4 linked regions of the Arabidopsis thaliana genome follow. The protein of the gene in region 3 interacts with the protein of the main gene of each other region in a pairwise test. Each region holds a gene or a part of one and is shown on either strand. Other genes may lie near its edges.

Region 1 (6,277 bases), on a different chromosome or scaffold from region 3:
CTACATATTAGAATTAGAAAACCGAAAAATGCAAATACAAAAACAAACAAATTCATAAATCTTCTAACTAATAATGCCAAATATATATTCTTATCTCTTCAAAATCACACTAAACGAGCTACGTCTAATAAGTATCATAACTTTGAGTTTAGTAACCCACTAGTTAACCGCAGTACTAACTGACTTGATAACCTTCCGTTGAGTAATCGATCTTCAATGGATTCTATAATCGAAATAAATTATCAACAAATAAATAACAAATCGATCTATAATCGCTATGAGTTGAACCCAGCACTTGGTTCACTTAACCGCTCCTGAAGACTTCAGAACCGGCATCAATCTTTGGTCAGATAATCTCATTATTTTTTCCTGTCAAGTAATTGTATACTATTACTAATGGTTAATCAACTAAAGATTGAACTGAGGGATTAATGGAGCAAACTTCAGATGAAGTTACTCCTCCAAAAATTGGTGTATGCCGTTTAGCGTGGAGAACACACGGTATTCTTTAGTAAAAGGCGAAAGAATAGTTCGCTTTGTATTCACCACACGGCTCCATAACTTCTGAAGTGAGTGCACCAATGCATTTTATATGTGAATCCTTCCACATCTACTTTCTGTTCCATCCGATGTGGGACGATTTCTGATGTCGTTATTTGTCGTTATTGGGCAATTTCTGGGCCTTTAACTTGTCTAATGAGAACTCAATAACAATCGACTCTATAGAAACTATTTAGCTAAGAATTATCGAACTGATGATTTAATGGAGCGGACTTCATATGAAGTTGCTCCTCCAAAAATAGGTGTATGCCGCTTAGCGTAGAGAACACACGGTATTCTTTAGTAAAAGGTGTTCTAATTTTCTTTATATCTCCTTTAGTTGTTAACAAATAAGATGGAATACGAATCTTCTTTTTTTTTTTTTTTCTAAAACATGTTAAGCCAATTATGCGTCCCAACGATCTTGTTTCGTTTTAAATGGACAATTATAGGCAAGAGACAAATCATTGGTTGAAGTATGGAGGAGTTTGCTAATCAGAGTTTCATTTCTTTTCTTTTTTTGTCGTCAATCAGAGTTTCATCTCTTATTATTAAAAAAAGGCTCCAAACTAAAAAACTCATAAAAAGAGAGCCGTAGACGAAAATCTCAAGCTGATAAATAATGGCTTGCTCGTCTGGTCACAAGATAACCAGACGACTTGTTATACATATAACAACACAAAATAGCGATGAAATCCAACGTGAGGATTTTCAAGCTTCGTCGAGAGCGAGGACTCCTGGAAGTGGCTTACCCTCAAGAAGCTCCAAACTAGCACCGCCTCCGGTAGAGATGTGGCTCATCTTGTCTGCCAAACCAACCTTCTCGACGGCAGCAACAGAGTCACCTCCTCCAATGATTGTGGTTACTCCCTTTCCGCTTAGTTCTGCAAGCTGCTTTGCTACGGCCTGATGGTGAAACAAGACAAGAGATTGGGTTAGTTAAGTTGGGTTTCTCCGATTAACAAACATGTTGAAGACAGATGATTAACAAACATGTTGAAGACAAATGGATTTAGACAAAAGTGAGACTAAAACTTGTGTTTATATGTGTTTAGTTGCTCATACCTCAGTTCCAGCAGCAAACTTATCGAATTCAAACACACCCATGGGACCATTCCAGATGATGGTTTTGGTTGTGTCCAGAGCTTCGCTGAATGTCTTGATGGAGTCTGGACCAATATCTAGACCCATCCAGCCATCAGGGATGGCAGTGGCTGGCACTATCTGCAAGAGTCATATGTGTCAGCTTTAAAGAGACCAGACCAGACGCTTAAATGTTTTACTTTCATACATGGCCCATTGAGAGTCAACCACAATGACTGTGATAGTTACCTTGCTGTTAGCATCGGGAGCAAACTTGTCAGCAATAACCACATCGGTTGGGAGCAAGAGAGAGACACCTTTGGCCTTTGCTTTCTCCATGAGTGACTTTGCCAAGTCAAGCTTGTCCTCCTCCACAAGGGAAGATCCGACTGAGAGTCCTTGTGCCTTGTAGAAAGTAAAAATCATACCTCCACCGAGCAGGAGGATGTCAACTGTGTTCAAGAGAGACTCAATGACACCAATCTTTGTTGAAACCTTTGAGCCTCCAACAATGGCAGCAAAAGGCTTCTTGGGGTTTGCCACAGCTCCGACAAGGTAATCAAGTTCCTGACACAATAAAACAAGTAATAGTCTGATCAGTAAAATAAAGAGACTCATCTAAGAAGATACTCTTTATGCTGCAAATTTTAAATACCTTCTGCATGAGGAAACCAGCAACTGAAGGCTTCAAGAATTTGGCAACTCCCTCAGTGGAAGCATGAGCTCTGTGAGCAGTTCCGAAGGCATCATTAACGTAAACATCGGCAAGAGCAGCAAGCTTCTTTGCAAATTCAGGATCATTCTTCTCTTCCTCGGCGTAGAACCTCACATTCTCCAAGAGCAAAACACCACCTTCAGGTAGTCCTGCAACCAACTTCTGGACTTCCTCACCAATAGAGTCATTTGCCATTACAACCTATTAACACAAACAGAGTGAGAACAGTGTTCTTTTAAAAGCTAATGTTCAGAAACCTTGCAAGTCTAGAAGAGGAAGAGGAACAAACCTCAACACCAAGAAGTTCAGACAATCTGGGCACAAGAGGCTTTAAGCTGTACTTAGGAGTAACACCTTTTGGGCGGCCCTGAAACATAAATTGAGATCAGATACATCCATTAATTCAACAGCATCATCCAATTGAACTTGAGTATAAACATATCCAAGTAAACTTACTAAAACAATTACCCAAACAACACCAGAAAATCAACCGATAGAGTCAATGAACATATTGAAAAACAAGAATACTATATCTACATCCTAACATGCAAAGAGACTCTTCTTATACGCATGGCTCTCCGGATAAACAGATCAGATCAAAATTCCCACACCAAAATTACAACAGATAAGCAAGTAGTGAAGTGAGAACTGAGATAAGATATCATACCAAGTGACTGCAGAGAACAACCCTAGATCCATTACCCATCAAGTACTTGATGGTGGGAACAGCGGCACGAATCCTGGTGTCATCGGTGATGTTAGAGTTATCATCCAAAGGAACGTTGAGATCAACCCTCACGAACACACTCTTTCCCTTCAGATCCGCTTCCTTCAAAGTTCCAACGCTTCTCTTCGTCGCCATAGTTGATTCTTCGTAAAACAAACTAAAAACACTGCAAACAACAAGATGCACACCGCGAGTTCAGATTGACGGAGAAATCAACCAAATCGGTGAAACAGATCTAGAGAATCTAGCTCAAAACTTAATCGAAGAAAACAATCGGAATCTGAAGAAAGAATATACTTACATGAGTGGTTGAAATGAAATACAAGATGATCGAACGTTACAGAGGCTGGTATAAAGAGTTGGTGAATGGATCTTTCGAGAAGCGAGAGAACAATATCCCTTCCTTATATAAAAGCAGCTTGGACAACACCCCAAGAAATGTCCCTATAATTACCCTTTTTGCCACTGTGTCTCTCCTTGGATTCCACGGTTTAAATATATTATTTTTCGGATAGTGGGCTGATGGACCTTAATGGGCTAGCCCAATTATATAACTAATAGGCTTCGAGCCTCTTTGAGTTTAAGCGTCATCTTTCTCCTTCGAAGTATTAGGACACTCTCAACGACGGATCAGTGTAGATAAACCTCCTTACCGGAGAGAAGCGTAAGTCTTGCCGGAGAGTCGAGTGAGCTGAATGGTTGGTACTCACCATTTTCCTTCAGTAATTTTCTCAGAGAGAGCTCTTTAATCGGGAAAAATCTTCAAATGCGTCTGGTTTTGTTCTCTTTTTAATTTTTTTCTTGTGATTTCATTCATGGAGATTGCAATTTCGTATAAACCGAATCCGCTTATCTCTTCATCGACTCAGTTGTTGAAAAGATCAAAAAGTTTTGGTCTTGTTCGGTTTCCCGCCAAGTATGGACTGGGAGCTACCCGGAAAAAACAGCTCTTTCGAGTCTATGCGTCTGAAAGTAGTAGTGGGTCTTCATCTAATAGCGATGGAGGCTTTTCGTGGGTGAGATTGGCTCAGTCTATTCGCCTTGGTGCCGAGCGGATTGGGGAGAAGATTGGAGAATCTGTGAAGACAGAAATTGGGTTTGACTCGGAAGAAGCAAGTGGGAGAGTGAATGAGTATGTGGCTCGAGTTAAGGATAGTGTGCACAAGGGCCATCACGAGCTGACTCGCTTTAAGAATGAGACAGTGCCTTCGTTTATTGATTGGAACAAGTGGGAGCATTGGAAGGTAAGCTGGTTCAGCTTTTTAACGTAATTATCAAATTTCTGATTCTCAAGTATTGTTAGACTTCTGCTTGTGTTCTAAAACATTGAGGGACAAACGTATGGTATTTATTTATTTTGTTGTTGATTTAACGGAAGCATAAATTTTGGAGGAGACTACAACTACGCTTATTCTAGCGACATATACTAGTGTATTAGGTTGTTTCTTAATGAGGGAAGATGTATTGTATCAGGACATCAGGAATTGGGACGGTAAACGAGTTGCTGCCTTGTTCATATATGCTTTTGCGCTGTTACTTTCTTGTCAAAGAGTTTATGTTGCCATCCAAGCTCCTCGGGTAGAACGAGAGAGAAGAGAGTTAACAGAGTCTTTTATGGAGGCTTTGATCCCCGAGCCATCTCCTGGAAATATAGAAAAGTAGGTGCTTCCTAATCCTCAGTTTCCGATTGTAATTTTCTCTACTGGGACATGGTAAAATATGGTTCATATTCAAACTATGGTATCATCCTTTAACAAGTAAATACTCAGCTAATGAGGCATCTAAAGCGTCAAGAGTGGGAAGACTAAAAGAACTTCTGTTTATTTGATTTTGTAGAATGTCCTGACTTATTCTAGTGTTTCAGGTTCAAGAGAAATATGTGGAGGAAAGCAACACCTAAAGGCTTGAAATTAAAAAGGTTCATTGAAGCGCCTGATGGAACACTTGTCCACGATAGTTCTTATGTTGGAGAAAATGCGTGGGATGACGATCTAGAGACCACAGAGGGATCTCTCAAGAAAATAATTGGTAGAAATGCTAGGATTCAGACAGAGGCAAAGAAGAAACTAAGCCAAGATCTGGGTGTCTCTGGTCAGTATACATTCGTTAGGTGATACTTGTTTAGTAGTGGCATGCTGAAGATATAACAAGAAGTGATTTATTGTGCGAAACCTTTGTTTTTGACGACCTAATCTTATCTCACTAATCAAGTTTCTTTCAGAGCAGCACTTCTAGATCCCTCATCTACTATCATTGGTAACCTGTGCTTTTGACCATCTAATCCTCTATTGCATTCTTCTATGATAGGTGAAATTGGAGACAGTGTAGGTAATTGGCGGGAAAGGCTTGCAACCTGGAAGGAAATGTTAGAACGAGAAAAATTATCAGAACAGTTAAACTCCTCAGCGGCGAAGTATGTGGTTGAATTTGATATGAAAGAGGTAGAGAAAAGTCTTCGCGAAGATGTTATTGGAAGGACATCTGAAACTGAGGGAACTAGAGCTCTCTGGATATCAAAGAGATGGTGGCGATATCGCCCTAAGCTTCCCTATACCTACTTCCTTCAGAAGCTTGATTCTTCTGAGGTACAGCTCTAACCTATACTCTTGTCCGGCTTTGGGATTGTGAGTGGCAAGTGTCATTATATCCAGTTGAATTTTTTAAATGATAACAAGTGATGGTATATTCATTATGAGTTAAAATATGATGAATATATTCCTTTTCCAAAGCAATTAATTTGAAGCTGGACGTGATAGGATGATAGATCTTTTTTTTAGCTTATGTTGGCACGATAATCTGTGTATGTGTTCATAACAGGTTGCAGCTGTTGTTTTCACGGAAGACCTAAAGAGATTGTATGTGACCATGAAAGAAGGTTTCCCTCTAGAATATATTGTAAGTAAAAAAATTATAGTTGCAAGTATTTGGAAATGAATGATGTACATTCACCATGTCATATCCTTTTTATTTCTAGGTTGACATTCCCTTAGATCCTTACTTGTTTGAGACTATTTGCAACGCCGGAGTTGAGGTGGATCTTCTTCAGAAGAGGCAGATCCACTACTTCATGAAAGTTTTCATTGCACTTCTGCCGGGGATACTAATTTTATGGTTTATAAGAGAATCTGCCATGCTTCTCCTTATCACATCCAAGCGCTTTCTCTACAAGAAGTATAATCAGCTGTTTGATATGGCTTATGCAGAAAATTTTA
Region 2 (5,848 bases), on a different chromosome or scaffold from region 3:
AGTTGTGTAGGTGAAGAACCTCCAGAATCTTTATTTATGAAAGAATTGAAGAGACGTGGTATGACTCCTACTTCCTTGCTTCAAGACTATGAAGTGGATCAGGATGAGATCAAAACCGGTAAAGAAACCGGAAACAGCTCTAAAACGACTGCAACTACTCCGGCCTTCGATAAAAGCTTGTTAAATCAGAGAGAGAGATCTTTGGCTTTAAACAGCGAAGGGCTTGAGGTCAGATTATCACTAGTACCCTCTAATTATTATAGTTTCTCATAGTCAGTTATTGTAGGGCTTGAAATTATGTTTCATTGCCTTCTTTTGTATCCGGATAGTTCTTAGCAGCTTATGTAGTTATGATAAAGGTTGATTTTAGGAGTTTGTTTTGTTAAATTTGGAAAGGAACTGCTTATTGTTGTTTCAGGGGTTGATTCCGCGTGCTAGGATCTTGCTGACAATTGGAGGGACTTTCTTCTTGGGCTTTTGGCCATTGATAGTCTTAACTCTCGGCGCCTTCTCTGCTCTTTACCTTGTAAGTATTTAATAAGATCAAGGAGTGTACTTTTCTTCATTCTAGTCCTTGAATACTAAGAAAGTGGCAAATGTATTTTGGAGACTGTAAAGAGACCTCTTAGCTCTTCCAACCAACCACCTAGTTAAGACCCTCAACTCTGATCCAACCCAAGTCCTATTCACATTTATGCTTATCAGTATTCTTCCACGTTCTTCTCGCACGCCGTAGAAAGTGTTTTGGAATGAGTTTTTAAGGTTCCTTTCTTCTATGGATTTGATAAGGTTTCTTACCATAAACTGATTTTTCTTGTTGAAATGATAGTACTTTGGAGCAGATTTCATTCATGATGGAAGTAGAACTCCGGTTTCACCACCACCTTACATCGATCCATATGCTCTGTTGGAGGATGAGAGGATATCAGGGATGGATCCTCGTCTAAATTAGCAGGCAACAAGTTGTTCTTTATTGCATAACTAGTGTAGAGCATATATTTGCTCTAAGTATATATTTTTATTTACAGCCTTTCCTTTTATTTATTTTCCTTACGGTTGTAAAAAGAATCGTTGCTTCTCTATTGCTTCTCTGTTCCAAAAATTTCAATCTTTCACCACTCAAATAACAATTTGACGTTTCTATTTGTTTAGATTTTGGACAATCGATTTAAACCAAACCCAGCTTAAATTCAGTTCTTGGAGATGAAAATATTATCAGAAACAAACGAACTAGAACAAATGGCTACCGCCACAAGCAAGAGATAGAAATATGGTTTTTGAAAACACAAGTACGACTCGTAAGAGTTTCGAGCCTATTCACACAAACACGAGATAATAGAAATCCCACATAAAACCGACAACCTTCTTAGTACTCCTCTCCTTCATCATCCTCATCGTCACCACCTTCAGCACCAACCTCTTCGTAATCCTTCTCCAATGCTGCAAGATCCTCACGAGCCTCTGAAAATTCTCCTTCTTCCATACCCTCACCCACATACCAGTGAACGAAAGCACGTTTTGCGTACATAAGATCAAACTTGTGATCAATACGGGAGAACACCTCAGCAACACTGGTGGAGTTTGAGATCATACACACAGCTCTCTGGACTTTAGCAAGATCACCTCCTGGAACAACAGTTGGTGGCTGGTAGTTGATTCCACACTTGAATCCAGTAGGACACCAGTCCACAAACTGAATAGTACGCTTGGTCTTGATGGTGCCAACAGCTGCGTTCACATCCTTGGGGACGACATCACCACGGTACATCAAACAGCAAGCCATGTACTTTCCGTGACGAGGGTCACACTTTGCCATCATGGATGCTGGCTCAAAAGCACTGTTTGTGATCTCAGCAACCGAGAGCTGCTCATGGAAGGCCTTCTCTGCGGAGATGACTGGGGCATAGGAGGAAAGCATGAAGTGGATTCTTGGGTATGGGACCAAGTTGGTTTGGAACTCAGTCACATCAACATTCAAGGCACCATCGAACCTCAGAGAAGCAGTCAAGGATGAGATAACCTGAAACCATCAAGAGAGAGTTAAACATAAGAAACGAAACAGCAAAAAGACTGACTGATGTAAATGATTGAAGCTGGCTCTATACCTGAGAGACGAGACGGTTGAGGTTGGTGTAGGTGGGTCTCTCAATGCTTAGGGAACGTCTGCAGATGTCATAGATAGCTTCATTGTCGAGGAGGATAGAGACATCAGTGTGTTCCAAGAGTGAGTGAGTGGAGAGGACACTGTTGTAAGGCTCAACAACAGAGGTGGAGACCTGTGGAGATGGGTAAACTGTGAAACCCAACTTGGACTTTTTCCCGTAGTCAACAGAAAGTCTCTCAAGGAGGAGAGATCCAAGACCAGATCCAGTCCCTCCACCAACAGCGTTGAAGACGAGGAATCCTTGGAGACCAGTACAGTTATCAGCGAGCTTTCTGATACGGTCCAAGCACAGATCAACAATCTCTTTCCCAACTGAAATAAGATTTCAAAAGTAAATCAGTGAATGAACAGTAAATTCAACAAGATATGGTTGATGATGAAGAAACAAGGGAAGGAGTAACTTACTGGTGTAATGCCCACGGGCGAAATTGTTAGCTGCGTCTTCTTTACCGCTGATGAGTTGCTCAGGGTGGAAAAGCTGACGGTAAGTACCAGTCCTGACCTCATCGATCACAGTTGGCTCAAGATCAACAAAGACAGCACGTGGGACGTGCTTCCCTGCACCGGTCTCACTGAAGAAGGTGTTGAAAGCATCGTCACCTCCGCCAACAGTCTTGTCACTCGGCATCTGGCCATCAGGCTGTAACATTCCACATCCAAGACAACACATCAATACAAAGAGACATATAAAACGAAAAGATCTACACATATAGAAGCAACGATGAAAAGAGAAAATCACAACGAGATGCTTCAACTATATCGCAAATATCAATCGCCATCTCTTTAAGCAAATAAAGCAAAGTTTTCCTTCACCCAATATTATAAAACAAATACGGATATGGCATCAGCAAAAGCAATCTGACATGAAATCCAATTCAAACACAGATCTATCCAGGTTCATCGAATAATTTAGAAATGAGAAACGGATTTCGCATCAACCACAGAAATTTCATAAGACGTCGAAATCAAACACAGATCTAAACGATTACGTAAAATAGATCTACGAGGTCAATGCTGCGCAAAAATATCTCAGATTTGATCTTTTAAAATACGAAAAATATGAAGAAAAACACAGATCAAGATAGAAGAGGAAGAGACGAACCTGAATGCCATGTTCAAGACAGTAAAGCTCCCAGCAAGCATTTCCGACCTGGATACCGGCCTGACCAATGTGGATCGAAATGCACTCTCTCATTTTCGTTTCGCGGAAGAAAGAAAAGATCTAGAAACTAGATTTGCAGGGAAGAAGACGAAGAAGAAGAAGGGCGTTTATGAAGACGCTCTTCTTTTAGATCTAGATCTGATTTTTTCGATTTCTAGGTTTTTACAGAGCTGTTTGATGCTATATTTATAAGCGAAAGTATCCATCTGTATGTAACGGCACGTATGATACACGTGTAGTGATGTAATTGGGTTGTCGTTAAAACCACGATTTGTTGATATCCTCGTGAGTTGCGTATTTTCTAATTTTGAATTTTGATTCCTTAGATTCTGTTTGGCAATCGCTTTCTGACCGTTTCTCTTTATTTTTGAAATAGCAAAATTCCTTGAATTGCGTGGAAATGAACCGGAATTTAATTAGAATTGAACCGGATCAGACCAATATTTAAAGTAAACCGAAACGATAAGAAACTAGTATTAACCAAAATCTTCGAAATGGTAACCAAAAATTCAAAGCTTTGAGTAAATGATGAGAGCGCTAGCGGCGGCTTCACGGCCACTGTTTTCCGATTTGCCGAGTCTCGTTCGTTCATGGCTTCCGACTTCTAGCTTCAAATCGTTTGCTACTGTATCTTCGTCTCCTCCGTCGGATTTGAATCTCCGGAATCAATCTCGCGGTGGCCTTCCTCGATTCTTTTCCGATGATCTTCCATCTCGCAAGGCACACACCCTATCTATCTCTATCTTTATCTCATATAATTTTTGTTCCCTTTAAATCTGTGTAAGAATCCAATCGAAATGAGAGTGAGGGTAATCACTGAGAAGTTTAGAAATTACTGTAATTCACTGTAATCTCTAAGAAATTTCTGGTAAAATCATGGTGAAATGATAATATTAAATGTTCTTGTTGTTTGAAATGATAAGCTCCTCTTTGTGTAAATCGTTTTATGATTGTTTATAGGGTGGAGTTGTTCGTGTTCAAGGCTCTGAGTTTTGGCATATGGCTAAAGTTCTTAGACTGAAACAGGAGGACAGGTAATTACTACATTCATATATGTTATTGTCATTTTCCAGTGTTGCATTCATGAAAGGCCCTTTTAAAAATTGATTTGTTCATTTTTTGTTTGCTTGTATCCATGTTGCTAAAAGTTTTATCCTATCTGAATGATGTTTGTAATGTATCTGGATCCATCCTTTCATTTTTATGCATCTTTATCATGAGGAATTCAGTTGTTTAAGTAATGATAGCATCAAAAGTAACCCTGAGGTGAGAGGAGGCCAACCTTTTCTTTAGTTTAAGATCACTAAACCTTAAGTGAATGTAAGTAATGACTTGCACCCCTTTTCTTTGCAAGGGTAGAACTCTTTAATGGCAAAGGGGGTCTAGTAGAAGGCTGTATACAAAGCATAGACAAAACTGGAGTTGATTTTATCGCACAAGAAGATCAGAAGGTGATTCTTCCTCAGGGCATGCAGTGGCAGGTGTTTGCAGCTTTTGGTATGAAATAGGACTTCAACCTAACTTTACGATATCGCCGGATGTTATAGTCTCTGGCTCAGCTTGAGTCATGATTTCTTTGAAAATGTCTTGTCAGGAACTTTGAAGGGTGGTCGAGCGGATTGGCTAATTGAGAAATGTACAGTATGTATCTACTTTTAGTATGTAACTGTCTAAATCACCTGTGAATATTGTGTCACTGAATATGTGTATATGCTCGTCTTAGGAACTCGGAGCGAGCAGTGTCACACCACTTTTAACGGAAAGATCACCCATAATCTCTGAAAACCGGGTCGATAGATTGGAACGCGTTAGTTTTGCTGCAGCTAAGCAATGTAAGTAGCAATAGTGAAAGAAAACAATTGGTTGGTTAATCTTGCTCTTCTTTTTCCTTCGCATTATAGTTGTATGATCAGAAACTATTTGCCTTATCTTTCACTGTCACAGGCCAAAGACTTCATCAAATGGTACTGAACCCTCCAATCAAATTTGGTACCCTCTTGGATCATGTATGTTTGAACATTTTTCTACGCAAACTCTAAGATCCTTGGTTTATAAAATTTCTGACTTTTTGTTCTTCTAAACTTGTTTTGACACCTTTTGGGGTTTTCTAGATTTTGAAGTCAAAGTTATGTTTGGTTGCTACAGCCGAAGCTAAACCTCTTCTTAATGCAGTAAACTCCTCAGCAAAAGAATCCAGCGGACTATTAATCGTTGGACCAGAAGGCGGTAAGAAATCTTCTCTTCAATACATTTCTGATGTAGTTCTCTTTTAAAATTTCTACTGACTTGCTACACTTTCACATTGTCGAAAATGAAATCATGGGTTAATGCTCGAGTAGACACAAAATGAACAGTAGCTTATGGCTCTTGTTAATATGACTTGTCTCAGTGATATAAAAAATATGTTTGTTATCTAACGGTCAACAATGAAATTGAAGCAGACTTTACGAAGAAAGAGGTGGAGATGATGTTGGAAGCAGGCGGCACAGCAGTTGGACTGGGGCCACACCGGTTGCGAGTTG
Region 3 (5,925 bases):
TTTTGCCACCGCGGCTATGGCCGGAGAGGGCAAATTTGGATAGGTTTGGTGTTACTTGCGCTGGAAGAAAGTGATTAAGTCCTACTGATAACCAATCCATAATCTCCGCCGTTGATTTAATCTCATCCATTGTGTCTGGTCCGGCGATACTATATAACTGTTATAATATCACATAGCCAAGAAATTTGATTTACAACCATATAAAATAAAATGTTAACATTTGATATTAGAAATTCGAGAGACTCTAGAGACAAAAACAGGATAAACACATCAAGTGGACCCATTGATATGCATTTTTGTTCTTACTTTTCTTCTTGTCTAAGGTTCTTATAAGAGCCAAACAATAATAAAAGAAAAGTTTCAGAAAAATAACTAATTTAAACGTGGCATAATGTGTTCCATGCATCCAGCTGAATTATAGATACATCTTGGTTAAATCCTAAATCCTAAATCCTATAAGTCCTAACAAATCAATGTATATGTATTTATTATGATTTTTTTGGATTCAACTAGAATATCTTAATACATGGACCTACATATTCATGAACATTCACACTAAACCTCAAAGGACCAAGTAGTCAGTCACATGCAATATTTGCACAAAATGGAATGGAACGAGATTGTAGCGAATTTACATTTTTCTAAACTCTACACTAATACTAAATCCCTAAACAAAAACTATACACTGGATTTAACAATTCCGATAGTACCATTTCCATAAAAATAACTCATAACATTTTACTAATTAAACAAAAACTATACACTAGTTTGACCCCCCAAAAAATAATTTCTATACTAAATTACTAATACACATAGGAATCTAAAACTAAACAAGAATTTCAGTGGCTAATTAGTTCCTGAACTAATGTAATGATTGGAAATTGAAATTGAACCTGAGGAGCGATGAGGATGAAGCCATGAGAAGAGACATGCAACATAAGCTGAGAATAGAAGGAGTTGTAGAGAAGGTAACCATGGAGGAGCATCACCACCGGATAATCTCCTTCCTCCACCGGCGTAGCCACCAACAGCTGCTTTGGCGGAGACGGTGAAGCTCTAGAAGACGGTGTTATTTTGCAGCAACGAGATGATGAGTCCAAGGTTAAGAGATTTGATTTGTATTTGCCATCTTCAAAGGCGTTTCTTGATGAAGAAGAGGACATTTTTTTTGTTCTTTATTAGTTTTTCTTTTCTTTACTTTTTTTGTTTGGTGGGTTCATGAGAATGAGGTGAGTAGAGATATTATTAAAAGTTATAAGAAGTATGGCCGTTGAAATCTTGGTTAATTTTAAAGAGCACATAAACAAAATCAAATAGAAAAAAATTACTTATGTTAAATTACTTATATTATTGGGGTTGGTGTAATGATAAATCTTCCAGATGTAGATATTGGATTAAACGTCTGTTGAAAAGAATCTATTTTCTAAAGAATATAAATTTAACTTGTGTCCCATCTCTAAAAAATATAAGACCTTTAAATTTAAACTTCTAAATATTTTTTTTTAAAAAACAAATCAAATAGAAAGAAATTACTTATGTGTGCATGGAATATAACAACTACAATCATAAGGCCATATATTCATAGTCTATTTTCAGTATTGAAACCTGATTTTTTCTAATTTTGGGTAATAAATTTTATGAAGTCTTTTTATTATAGTCTAGTTAAATTTCTCTATATTTAAACAAAGTCAGATCCTATATATATGAGATTTTTTGGAATTTTAAAAAATATTTAAATTCAAACAAAATAATTGGAGATTTGAATTTTTGTAAGAAAGTTACTTTGTGTTTCAGATTAAATTTAATAATAAATGGTCAAAAGATTTATGACTAAGAAGTATTAAAAATTAAAATATAGAAGAGAAAAAAATTGATATGATATGATATGCTCTTAGCAAAAAAATAAATTGATATGCTGTTGCTGGGTACAAGGAATGGGCTTTGTACTTCATACTAGACTACTTTTTCTCTAGTCCAATTTAAAAAAAAAAAAAACATTATATAACATTCGAGACTAATTTAAAGTGTTAAACGGCCCAATTTGTATTACACGGCCCAAGTTAAAGTGTTAAACATTACCTCATTACCTATGTACGATTTGTGGAAAAAAAATATATATACCTATGTACGATTTTGGATTACATTTTTTTTTTCTAGTTAAAACTAATTTCAAGTTTGAAATATAAATTATATATCTGAATATAGATCATTCTAGTTCAAATCAGATGGAAATATATGAACCTCAGAAAATACAATATCATACAAATGAGCCAATGTTTTGGTCTTATTCATTCATGATCATTGTGGCTCGAAAACGGTTGTTTTTTTCGTGCAAAAGAAAAAATAACGATTTTTTATTATTAGAATTTCGAAACCAGAATTAATAAAAATTAGGAGAAAGGAAAATAATACGAATTAAAGTGATCGTACACGTGGCTATCATCGACGGAGGAAATAGCCATTTATTTATCTGATCTTCATCACTCTGATGAGTCTGAAATCAAAAAAGCATTTACACAACGAAGATCATTAATGGCTCTCGAGGTGAGTTCTGATTCATAGGTTCTAGATTCTGATTTCGAATCTCGATTCGTTCAATAGTGATTATCGTTGCTCTTTCGGAATTATTTTGGGGATTTGATTTGATTTTGGCAGAACTGAGAATTGGGATTTGATTTTACCGTTTTGCAGCTGAAATTGAAAATTGAATCAAAAGTTTTTTCTTGAGATTTTTTTCTTTCCCTGAGGCTTAAGTGTTGATTGATGCAGGCATGGTTTATGGATGATAGCAATGAGGACCAGAGACTTCCTCATCATCGTAACCCGAAAGAACTCGTCTCGTTGGATTACTTGGCAGGTCTTTTCAATTCTCTACCTTAAAAATTACTCTTACTTTGCAACTTTTGAAAAACATCAATCTTTCATGCTTTATTGTATTGAGTAGTGATTCTACATGAGGAAACTAAACGTAAACCGTCTTAAAACTAAGGAAATGGTCAAATTTACCCAAGATGAGATTTAACAGAATCATAAATTATGCAAATATCACAAATATAGTTGTTGTGTTTTGTAGAGTTGGGAGTGTTGTACTGGAAGTTGAACCCTGAGAACTACGAGAATGATTCTGAACTTAGCAAGATTAGAGAAGACAGGGGTTACGATTACATGGTACGCATATTATCTCTTCCTGATCACTGTTTTTTCTTAACTTAGGAACACTCATGCTCATCATAAATGCCAATTGAATGTCTCTGTTTTTTAACTTGTTGCATATCGTTGCATGTTGATCTCATGAGATTAACGATTGTGACATATACTAGACACAGTAGGAGTGTAGGACTACATAATGAAGGTAGTACTCAAACCTTACAAAACCAGCCTATGAAGAAAGAAGCCTTATGAGTATTAGAGTACAGGATTTGCTACGGCTTATGTCTTTCTGATCACCCTTTTTTAACTCATGCTCACCATAAGCGGCTATTGATGTTTCAGTTCCTTTACTTGTTATCTCTGCACGCTAATCTCATGAAAAAAAAAAACATGTATCATAGGACAGTAGGACTATAATCTTGCATAACCATTAAGGGGTAGTATGACTACAAACATTTTAGAAACCAGCTTATTAAGGAAGAAGGCTTCTCTGTAATTGAGTATTAAGGGAACATTAAAACGTTTGGTTTACGTTAAAAATAATTAAGCTATTTGTGTGGTGTGTAGCATTGTAACTTATGAGCTATAAACTAATTTTCTCAAGCAGAATGATTACTTTGGTTAATCTTCATTTTAGGATTTGCTGGATCTGTGTCCCGAGAAAGTCAGCAACTACGAAGAAAAGCTGAAGAACTTTTTCACAGAACACATTCACAAGGACGAAGAGATTCGGTACTGCCTAGCAGGAAGTGGCTACTTTGATGTTAGGGACAAGGATGATCGTTGGATCCGTATCTGGATGCAACCTGGCGATCTCATTGTCCTTCCTGCCGGAATCTACCACCGGTTCACACTCGACGCCAGCAACTACATCAAGGTACAAAAAGCCAAACTCAGTCTCTATACTAATTTACTAATTTATATGAATACGCAAATGAAATATTACATCTTAATATCTTATGTTAAAAGATTTGATTGTTGGTTTGTGATGTATGGTGGTTTGGTTTTGCAGCTAATGAGGCTGTTCGTGGGGGAACCGGTTTGGACACCATATAACCGGCCACAGGAAGAACATCCTGTTAGGAAAAAGTATATCCACGGCTTAACCTACAAGTTTGGAGAAACCGTTAAAGCACATTAACAATATTAATATATGCTTGTTGTGTAATTTGTATGTATTGTTTACTCTTTAGTCTTAAGCAGTAAAATAAAAACAGCGGCTCCTTCTGGATAGTTGTTCTTGTAACATACTTTTGCGATGTATGCTTTTATACATAAAAAAAATAGTGTGTATTTATCTAATAAGTATCATTAAAAAACAAATGTCAGCTGCGAACGTGAAATTTATAACTAAAAAAACCCTACGATTTTCGAATAAATTATTTGAGCTTTCCAAACTGTAATTCAAGTATTATTACTTATATAGTGTTAGTGTACTTCAAAAGTTAAAGCATAAATTTTCTTATATTTGAAATGACCTCTTCTTTACAAAATCTTCTTAAAATTATGCATTATCAATATATTAATTGTATATATATATATAATGTATAATTCTGCTTGTGTCGTGCTTAACCGTTTGATTTGGTGTGGTTAGATCTGGTTTTCCCCCAACCCAATTCAATTGAATCAAGGATCAATCAAATTTTCAAAGGATACTCTTGTTCTCTACACAAATCTTTCAAAGGGTTCCACCAAAAATCCCATCATTCTGACTTCAGAATAAACAAACAAACCACGAAACGTATCTCTATGCATTCACTACAACGTGTCATGGGCGAAAACGAAGCTTATAAATGTTGGAGCATAGTCACTAAATTTATAATGATTAATTAAATTTTAGATTTTCTGATATTCATAGAAGACAAAAGAACACAAAAGTAGCATCTTCCAATGAATGTATGACACTATGATCTCTCATTTCCATTTATAGCAAATCGGCTTTGTCCACATCAAAGATAACTAATAAATAGACTTATCCAAAACACTCAAAAGCAATACATTTCTATCCAAAAATATTAAACCCCAAAAATATAGACAGCATAAAAGCATCCTCAAGCTTCAGCTATTCATCACAACTATTCTCTCCTCTCTCTTTTTTTATTAAAAAAGCTCAAATTTATATAGGTTTTTTGTTCACAAAATGGATTATAACCTTCCAATTCCATTAGAGGGTCTCAAAGAAACGCCACCAACGGCTTTCTTGACGAAAACATACAACATAGTGGAGGATTCAAGCACAAACAACATAGTTTCATGGAGCAGAGACAACAACAGCTTCATTGTTTGGGAACCAGAGACTTTTGCCCTAATTTGCCTCCCTAGATGCTTTAAGCACAATAATTTCTCCAGCTTTGTTAGACAGCTCAATACTTATGTACGTAACTACTTTTGAGTTTTTGTCTTGGTTATTTTGATCTTCATTAAAAATTAAATCTTTGTTTAATGATCTGTAGGGGTTTAAGAAGATTGATACAGAGAGATGGGAATTTGCAAATGAGCATTTTCTGAAGGGAGAGAGGCATCTTCTTAAGAACATCAAGAGAAGAAAGACATCATCTCAAACGCAAACGCAGTCGCTAGAAGGAGAGATCCATGAGCTGCGAAGAGACAGAATGGCTTTAGAAGTAGAACTGGTTAGACTGCGACGAAAACAAGAAAGCGTGAAGACATATCTGCATTTGATGGAAGAGAAACTGAAAGTCACAGAAGTAAAGCAAGAAATGATGATGAATTTCTTGCTAAAGAAGATTAAGAAACCGAGTTTTTTACAGAGCT
Region 4 (6,672 bases), on a different chromosome or scaffold from region 3:
GATTTTATGGTCAGAGAGTGAATTGTTATCTCATCAATCTTCAGATTCCTCTGAGGTATGGATTACCAAAACACGTTGTATTCATATAGATGTGTACGACAACAATTGCACGTAGACATTAATAGCTTTTCAGGACAGCTCTAGTTCATTTGATGATCACATAAGATTAAGTACTGGTGCAGCCTTTTTTTGTAAATCCCTTGCCATGAATAAGTTAACCCATCCAAAAAGTAAAGACAATCCAAGACCTATATATATTTCATGTCTAATGTTATTTGGTTAATAATTTTTGCATGAGTATGGACTCTCTATACTGAGAATGAGAGAATGAGATCAACCTTTTATTATTTTTTGTGGTGCTTTTTCCTGTTTTTCTCGGAAACTAAATTCTGAAACCTCAAATGAGCAGTTGGATTCATTCTGCGGATTACTCGTCAACAAGCTCAAGGATGCCTACAGCTGGGTAGGGGAGATCACACTAGAAAGCAGCATAGGTGCCTGGATAGGGGAAGTACCTGACTACTTGAAAGAAACCAGCAGAGCTAAGTCTGTTGAAGATCACATTGTTACAAGCTCGTCTCTTCTGGAAATACTCAATGAAGACGCAAAGGCATCTGCGCAAGATATCGCTACTTACCAGGTAATTCCAGTGAATTATGATGAATTGAATTCTTTTAAGTGGACTACTACTTCATCTTCGTCTGGTTCTTTAATGGAAGCAGGTAGTTTTATCATCCGAAGGTAAAATCATAGGGTTCCAACCGACAAGCCGGGTGGCTGTGAATCACTGGGCTGCTAATCCTTTAGCTAGAGAACTTTATGGAGGAAAAAAACTCAAGCCTGGTAACACACCATGGTTCTTCTTTCAATTCCTTAAATTCAATGCTATTCGTATCCTTTTAAGTTTATCTGATTATGTGTTGTGTCATTCTTTGCTTTGCAGGGCTGATTGAGCCTGGTCTTAAGAGTCACCCTCCCAAAAAAGTAGTTGTGTTGGAATTATTAATGTCTGTGAATTCAGATCGTCCTTTTGCATTGGTCAGACCATTATTGCCACAATAAGCATAGCGAAGTTCCTGTCTCTCTTTAGATGAATTTTAGTACAATATATGTAGAATATGATTTGATTGATTGCTTGTAACACTTGGCGTCTATGATATGCAAATATCTTAAGAAGAGTGAGAACGTGATTACATGATTCTTGAAACGATGCTTAAGATTTTGAAGCTCTGCAGAGAATTTTTATTAACAAAACCCCAAATCTGAAACATAGACTAAGTAAGAGCAATGATCTCATTGAACAAGGTCCTGATTCTATAAGAACAACACTGATACTCAAAACCGTATTTCCCCATCGGTTACATAATTTGTCATCTGCATTATATCGCAGAAGAGAGTCGAAAATGCATCAAAATATATAAACCGGAATGTCAGTAAATATGTCTTCACCTCCATAGACTGAATCTTAAAAAGCAGTCTCCTTCGTCACATTTACTATTCCTAACTCCAGGACAGTCTTCAGCATCCACTTCTTGTTATATATACATAATCTCCATAGATAGACAGAGAACTATTATATAAGAGAAAAAAAAGATACGAGTCATGAAAATCCATTACTTTGCCCTACGATATGTAGAAGCTTCTTCTGCTGCTGCCTAATTAAATGGTAAGCAAACAGCTTTTTAAACCTGAGTTTTTCCACATTCGTCTCAGGGGATATAATAGTCGCTTAGATTTCCGACCAGATAGTTAAACTCTTCACCTACTCCATAGTCATTTGCCTGCTCTACTGTGTTCTGAACATTCCCGGTGGCGACTTTTGTGCTCACTTTTGGTCTTCCTTTGATGCAGCGTTTGTTGTTGTTGGTGGTGTTAGTGGTATTGTTTTCTGGAGGGAACTCAGCTGTGAGTCTTCCCATCTGCTTCTGCAGATCAGCCACTGAGTCGTTTGAGACTTTGCCTTTTGAAGTCTTCTTCCCGTCAACAAGCTTGAGCTCGAGCCTGTACAAGGCACAAGCATCACACTTGTTGATCTCATATTCGTAAAGATGCCATTCGAAATGGTGCAGAGGCTGTGGATCCATGTAGTAAGATCTCTTCAGCCCTCCAAACTCGACCATGATCTGTTTACGTGACTCGTGCCAACCACGACCATTGTAGTCTGGTAAAGATCTTTGCTTTCTGTTCCCGCTCTCAAAGGCCCTCCTTGGCTTGTCAAAGAATAGCCACTCCCTTAGTGTCTCACTCTCCAGAACCGTGAGATCAAAGAGCTCTACAGTCATCAAGATTTGAGTATGATCAGCTCAAGAATGGTGATCAATTAACATACTTGTGAATGAATTCCAAGAGAGTAAAGCCTACCTGGAGCATTCCATGGAGATTTAGCAGTTGCAGCTCCTTCACATTCGGGAATACCAACATCTTTCCCTCCAGCCTTTGCACTAAGAGCAGCAAAAAGCAGACCGTCTTTTAGGCCGATACCTCCAGGACGCACCACCGGATTCATACCTGGTGGCCCTTCATTGAAAGCCAGTGCAGCGTGGAAGCTGCTGCAGTAATCCTGGAACCAATCAAATCCCTGAGCTGGCCTAGGGCAATCCCAAAGAGCACATTTTGGACCCAAGAATGCAGAGGGTGGAGGACAAATAGTCGGGATAAAATTAGAGATATGTATAGGACCCTCTACTACACCATAACTGGGACAATTGTTGAAACCACCATTGAAGTTTGGTTCAAACTCTTGTTGCAGATCATACTGCTGATGATACTCCAAAGGAGCCGTTCCATCGAAATTGTTACCAGCTGCTAAGGACAAATCTTTGCAATTATCAACCAATGGTAATCCATGTTCTGACTTCCCCTGAACCAAATTGTATCCCTGAAAACTTTCACCACGATCTCAGTATTTAAACAAAATAATGGACTCCAAACACAACTAAAGCACCATTAAAAACTGGTTCTAAAGAGCAACTCACCCTTTGGAAGACAGCAGCTTTGCCAGCTTCGAGATTCTGATCAGCAGGCTCGGGCTTGGGGGCAGCTAATTTGCTGGTAGCATCATCTTCCTCATCACAGAGCTGCAGCAGCCGACAAATATCTGATGAGAAAGACCCCAGAGTACCACCCTGCTTAAGCAAAACAAAATGACACAGCTAACAATGACTGAAACAACAAAGAAAACTAAATCACCCATGCAAGTCAGAAGAAACAACAAGATTGCAAATTTGAAACAAACGAAAGCATACTTGTTGCAAGGATGAAGCTGGAGAAGGCTCATTGAGCTCAGATTTCCACTCACGAAGCATCTGATTCACTTGCTCCTCAAGAAGAGTAACATCAGTAGGCCTACTCTCTTTCCTCGCAAACTGAAGATCCAAAAGCATGCCTTGCAAATCATCAACACGGTTCTTAGCCTTATCCTTGAAGAGCTTGTGAGAAGCAGATCTGCAATTAGTCTTTGATCGCTTCCCCGTCATAAGAAATCTCACCTCCCCACCACAAAAACACAAGATTCTCTGTACAAAACCAAAAACACATTCAAAATACACACTTCACATCAGTTCTGCTCCTATAACAAACATGATCACTCATGAATCATTGGTACATGCTTAGATTACATAAACAAAACCAAAACATTTACAGTAAATCAAAACCCAAAATCGATGAAGCAACAAAAGCCCTAGATGATCTCGAACGAAGTAGCTAAACGAAGATTAAAAGGATCATAAGTTTTAGGGATCGTCATTTTTTTACCTAATTGTCGAACTAAACAAGCAGCAAAAAACAGGTTACGAACACGAAATTGAATCATGCACAGAGTTAAAAAGAACAACAGATCGAAGTAACAAGAACAAATCGATTCTGAAGCAAAAAGCGACGCGAGATTTTGGAGTTTGAAGGAACCCAGAAAATCAAACTTACACTGTAGCTGCAGCAAAAGCAGCAAATAACAAAGGCAAAGAGAAAAATCTCCGGAAAATAAAAAGAAGAGTAATGAAGAAATGGAGAGAGTAAAAATTATGAATAAATAAAAAGAGAGAGATTATGAAGAAAAAAAAACACAAAGGAAATAAAGAAACGTTGCTGGATTCTCTTCTTCTCTTCACCCTCCACTTTTCTTTTTCCTTTTTTATGAGCTAAATTCAATGTACTAATTTATGAGAAAATATAAAAATTTAAAAATTATCAAATTGTGGGGAAATGTTTAAGGAATTTAATGATTATTTTGGAAAAAAATGCCATTTGGACTGTTTATTATGGATTCTTTTCTTTTTATTGTTCATTTTTTCTCTTTATAGCATTTATTTATATTAAGAAATATTAAATGAGCATTTAAAATTTACTATTTGTTGTGTAAATAATCTTTTTTTTTTGTTTTGTTTTCTAAACTAACCAGAGTTCAATTATGTTTTTTTTTTTTTTTTGTTGCACATATGCTTTAGAAAATTAGGCATTTTCTTCAATGCTATTGGCTCCATACACTACTTGCTCCTTATTTGAGGAAATTTAAATACTATTTGAGTTAGAAATTTAAGTTTTTCTTTAGACTATGTAATACATTAGGGAAGTCGCCAAGAATTTTTCCAAAATCAGAGTTTGGGTCACACGATTTGTAAGATATAATATAACCATGCGAATATGCGATGATAGAATTCAAGATAGGCTAAAGCTAAGCAAATTTTATACATACGAGAAAATTAAAACAAATACCAAACAAAAAAGTGTAAAAAAAGGCTTTGAAATTAAAACTACCATCCATTTTAGGGATGGAACATTTGCAAATATTAGAAAATGTTAAGACTAATGTAGTAACGCTAAAATTTGTGACATTGTATGATCATCGGGTTTAGTCCAAGTTAATGTGTATGGAGGGGAGTGGTTTGCAACTTTGCGTAGCTGTACTTGTAGTCGTAGGAAAAAAAAACTAAAAAACGATTCATGATAACATTTCTTTCGAGAATGTATATTTTGTTGATAAATTGACATAGACTTTATGATAGCATCGTAGTAGAACCACGTTAAAGATTTTGATTCAACGGCTAATTAGTGCTCAAGTCTACGACTACATGTAACGTAATTTGATAATAAAAAAGGAATATTGGAAATGTAACGTATTATATTTTCAAGATAAGTCAATTAGATTGATAACCGTAATTTTGGTTGCGCTTGACAATTGGTCATTTCTTAAAATAATTTGGACCCATTTGTTTTCTTATATCCTTTCAATGAGTTTTAACAATGAGATTGTTTGTACCTAATGTAAATTTGCATTACTTTTGGAGGAAAAAACAAACAAGCATAACAAAGGAATCTTGGGTAAAGAATTTGGACAAGTGTCGTGAATACTAAGTTATTATTATTTTCTTTTAAGATACAAGAAGGTGTAAAAGAAGGAGATATTGGCAAGGAAGGAATATAACTTAGCTTTTCTCCACTATGTTTTCCATATTCCTATCTTGTGATGCTCATCAATTTTCATCATACCATCTACTTTCAATTTCTTCAATGGTCATATTCTATCGTTCTTTATCTATTATTGCTTATTATTCTCATTTCAAATACATAATGTTCGTCGTATGAACTCTAAAAAAATATTCAAATTCAACTTTTAACTAGGTTATAAGAAATAATATCTCCACTAATTTTAAACAACCAATTCTTGACTGAGTACGATTATATATTAATCACAGTTAAACAGCCAATTATTGACAATATTTTCTTTGAGTATGCACCTTACATCTTATATATCCCTGGTTGGAATATAGATCGGTCCACCACTACACTTTATCTTTGATCCGGACCAAATTAGTGACAGTGGAGAAGTTTTTTTCCTTCTTTTTCTTTTCTTTAAGGTCTCCAAGGTGAATTCAATGTCACCATAATAGATTTCTATATCATATGTGACAAAACATCCAACTCAAATTCAAAATAAGCTAGGGATAAGAGTGGCTCAACTAGATGATGCTTAACGTCGAGCCCATACTTTAATGGTAGAAGAAAGCATGTATCCCATGTTGGAAAAAACGAACAAAATGATGTTTATCAAATTGTTACACTCTCGAGGTTAAATTATCTACGAAAATTGTATGCTTCGAAGAACATCACCATAACGATTTAACCGTCTGGTAAATTCGAAAATTTGTCCCGAATAAATATACTTAACTACTTATTACTAATGTGTGTAAATTTTTTATTCTTAAATCTCTCAAATGGGATAAATTTAGACTATGATCATTCCATGATTTTAGATCAATATAATTTATTGTTGTGCATTGGTGTAAATTTAGAATTCCAAAACTATTTTATTTAGATTTTGTTTTAACTATAACGTCTGGTAAATGTATCACTTTTTTAATATTAAATAGTAAGATAAAATCATTTAACTCTTTGTATGATTTAAATTCGAGTTATTATAAACGAAGTGTACTAAGCTAATTCATAAATTACTTTAGCTGAAGGAGTTAGCCCATTTTGATTACCACAATCTCCTAAGATTATATCACACAACATAAACTTCTACTAGCTCATCATAAGTAGCATGCGTTTTTATAAATCGATGTGTTGTCTTTTTCCTTTTTGATCGTCGTTATGAGAAAACATGATATGCTTTTATGGAATTTCTAAGCATTTGCCCAAATGATTGTTCCCCCTATAATATATTCCCTTTCTCTA

Evidence for each region.
Region 1: the proteins of ARD4 (region 3) and PGK interact in a two-hybrid assay, tested with the Arabidopsis thaliana proteins (one large-scale study listed by BioGRID).
Region 2: the proteins of ARD4 (region 3) and TUA2 interact in a two-hybrid assay, tested with the Arabidopsis thaliana proteins (one large-scale study listed by BioGRID).
Region 4: the proteins of ARD4 (region 3) and VOZ1 interact in a two-hybrid assay, tested with the Arabidopsis thaliana proteins (one large-scale study listed by BioGRID).

What each region holds. Positions count from the first base shown.
Region 1 is NC_003070.9:29,923,096-29,929,372, forward strand, and holds PGK (phosphoglycerate kinase), read right to left. Parts: upstream 3,542-6,277; 5' UTR 3,367-3,541; exon of another isoform or gene 3,232-3,366; 5' UTR 3,201-3,231; coding exon 3,006-3,200; intron 2,706-3,005; coding exon 2,628-2,705; intron 2,540-2,627; coding exon 2,279-2,539; intron 2,191-2,278; coding exon 1,873-2,190; intron 1,765-1,872; coding exon 1,606-1,764; intron 1,447-1,605; coding exon 1,252-1,446; 3' UTR 928-1,251; downstream 1-927. Other genes in the region: FTSH12 (FTSH protease 12), read left to right, coding at 3,881-4,309, 4,539-4,723, 4,930-5,156, 5,373-5,650, 5,883-5,960, 6,040-6,277.
Region 2 is NC_003070.9:18,515,248-18,521,095, reverse strand, and holds TUA2 (tubulin alpha-2 chain), read right to left. Parts: upstream 3,511-5,848; 5' UTR 3,360-3,510; coding exon 3,267-3,359; intron 3,265-3,266; exon of another isoform or gene 2,805-3,264; coding exon 2,570-2,804; intron 2,477-2,569; coding exon 2,106-2,476; intron 2,021-2,105; coding exon 1,367-2,020; 3' UTR 1,096-1,366; downstream 1-1,095. Other genes in the region: AT1G50020 (tubulin alpha-6 chain), read left to right, coding at 11-228, 419-526, 830-952; AT1G50000 (methyltransferase), read left to right, coding at 3,852-4,046, 4,287-4,360, 4,681-4,823, 4,921-4,967, 5,050-5,158, 5,271-5,332, 5,438-5,552, 5,768-5,848. UniProt on the Arabidopsis thaliana protein: Tubulin is the major constituent of microtubules, a cylinder consisting of laterally associated linear protofilaments composed of alpha- and beta-tubulin heterodimers.
Region 3 is NC_003076.8:17,625,730-17,631,654, reverse strand, and holds ARD4 (RmlC-like cupins superfamily protein), read left to right. Parts: upstream 1-2,291; 5' UTR 2,292-2,532; coding exon 2,533-2,544; intron 2,545-2,769; coding exon 2,770-2,857; intron 2,858-3,073; coding exon 3,074-3,168; intron 3,169-3,787; coding exon 3,788-4,027; intron 4,028-4,162; coding exon 4,163-4,291; 3' UTR 4,292-4,523; downstream 4,524-5,925. Other genes in the region: CLH2 (chlorophyllase 2), read right to left, coding at 1-157, 894-1,163; HSFA6A (heat shock transcription factor A6A), read left to right, coding at 5,291-5,524, 5,604-5,925. UniProt on the Arabidopsis thaliana protein: Catalyzes 2 different reactions between oxygen and the acireductone 1,2-dihydroxy-3-keto-5-methylthiopentene (DHK-MTPene) depending upon the metal bound in the active site.
Region 4 is NC_003070.9:10,026,517-10,033,188, reverse strand, and holds VOZ1 (vascular plant one zinc finger protein), read right to left. Parts: upstream 4,107-6,672; 5' UTR 3,922-4,106; exon of another isoform or gene 3,516-3,921; 5' UTR 3,477-3,515; coding exon 3,246-3,476; intron 3,126-3,245; coding exon 2,976-3,125; intron 2,879-2,975; coding exon 2,362-2,878; intron 2,273-2,361; coding exon 1,710-2,272; 3' UTR 1,199-1,709; downstream 1-1,198. Other genes in the region: AT1G28530 (deneddylase), read left to right, coding at 1-55, 410-640, 723-843, 944-1,062. UniProt on the Arabidopsis thaliana protein: Transcriptional activator acting positively in the phytochrome B signaling pathway. Functions redundantly with VOZ2 to promote flowering downstream of phytochrome B (phyB). Down-regulates 'FLOWERING LOCUS C' (FLC) and up-regulates 'FLOWERING LOCUS T' (FT).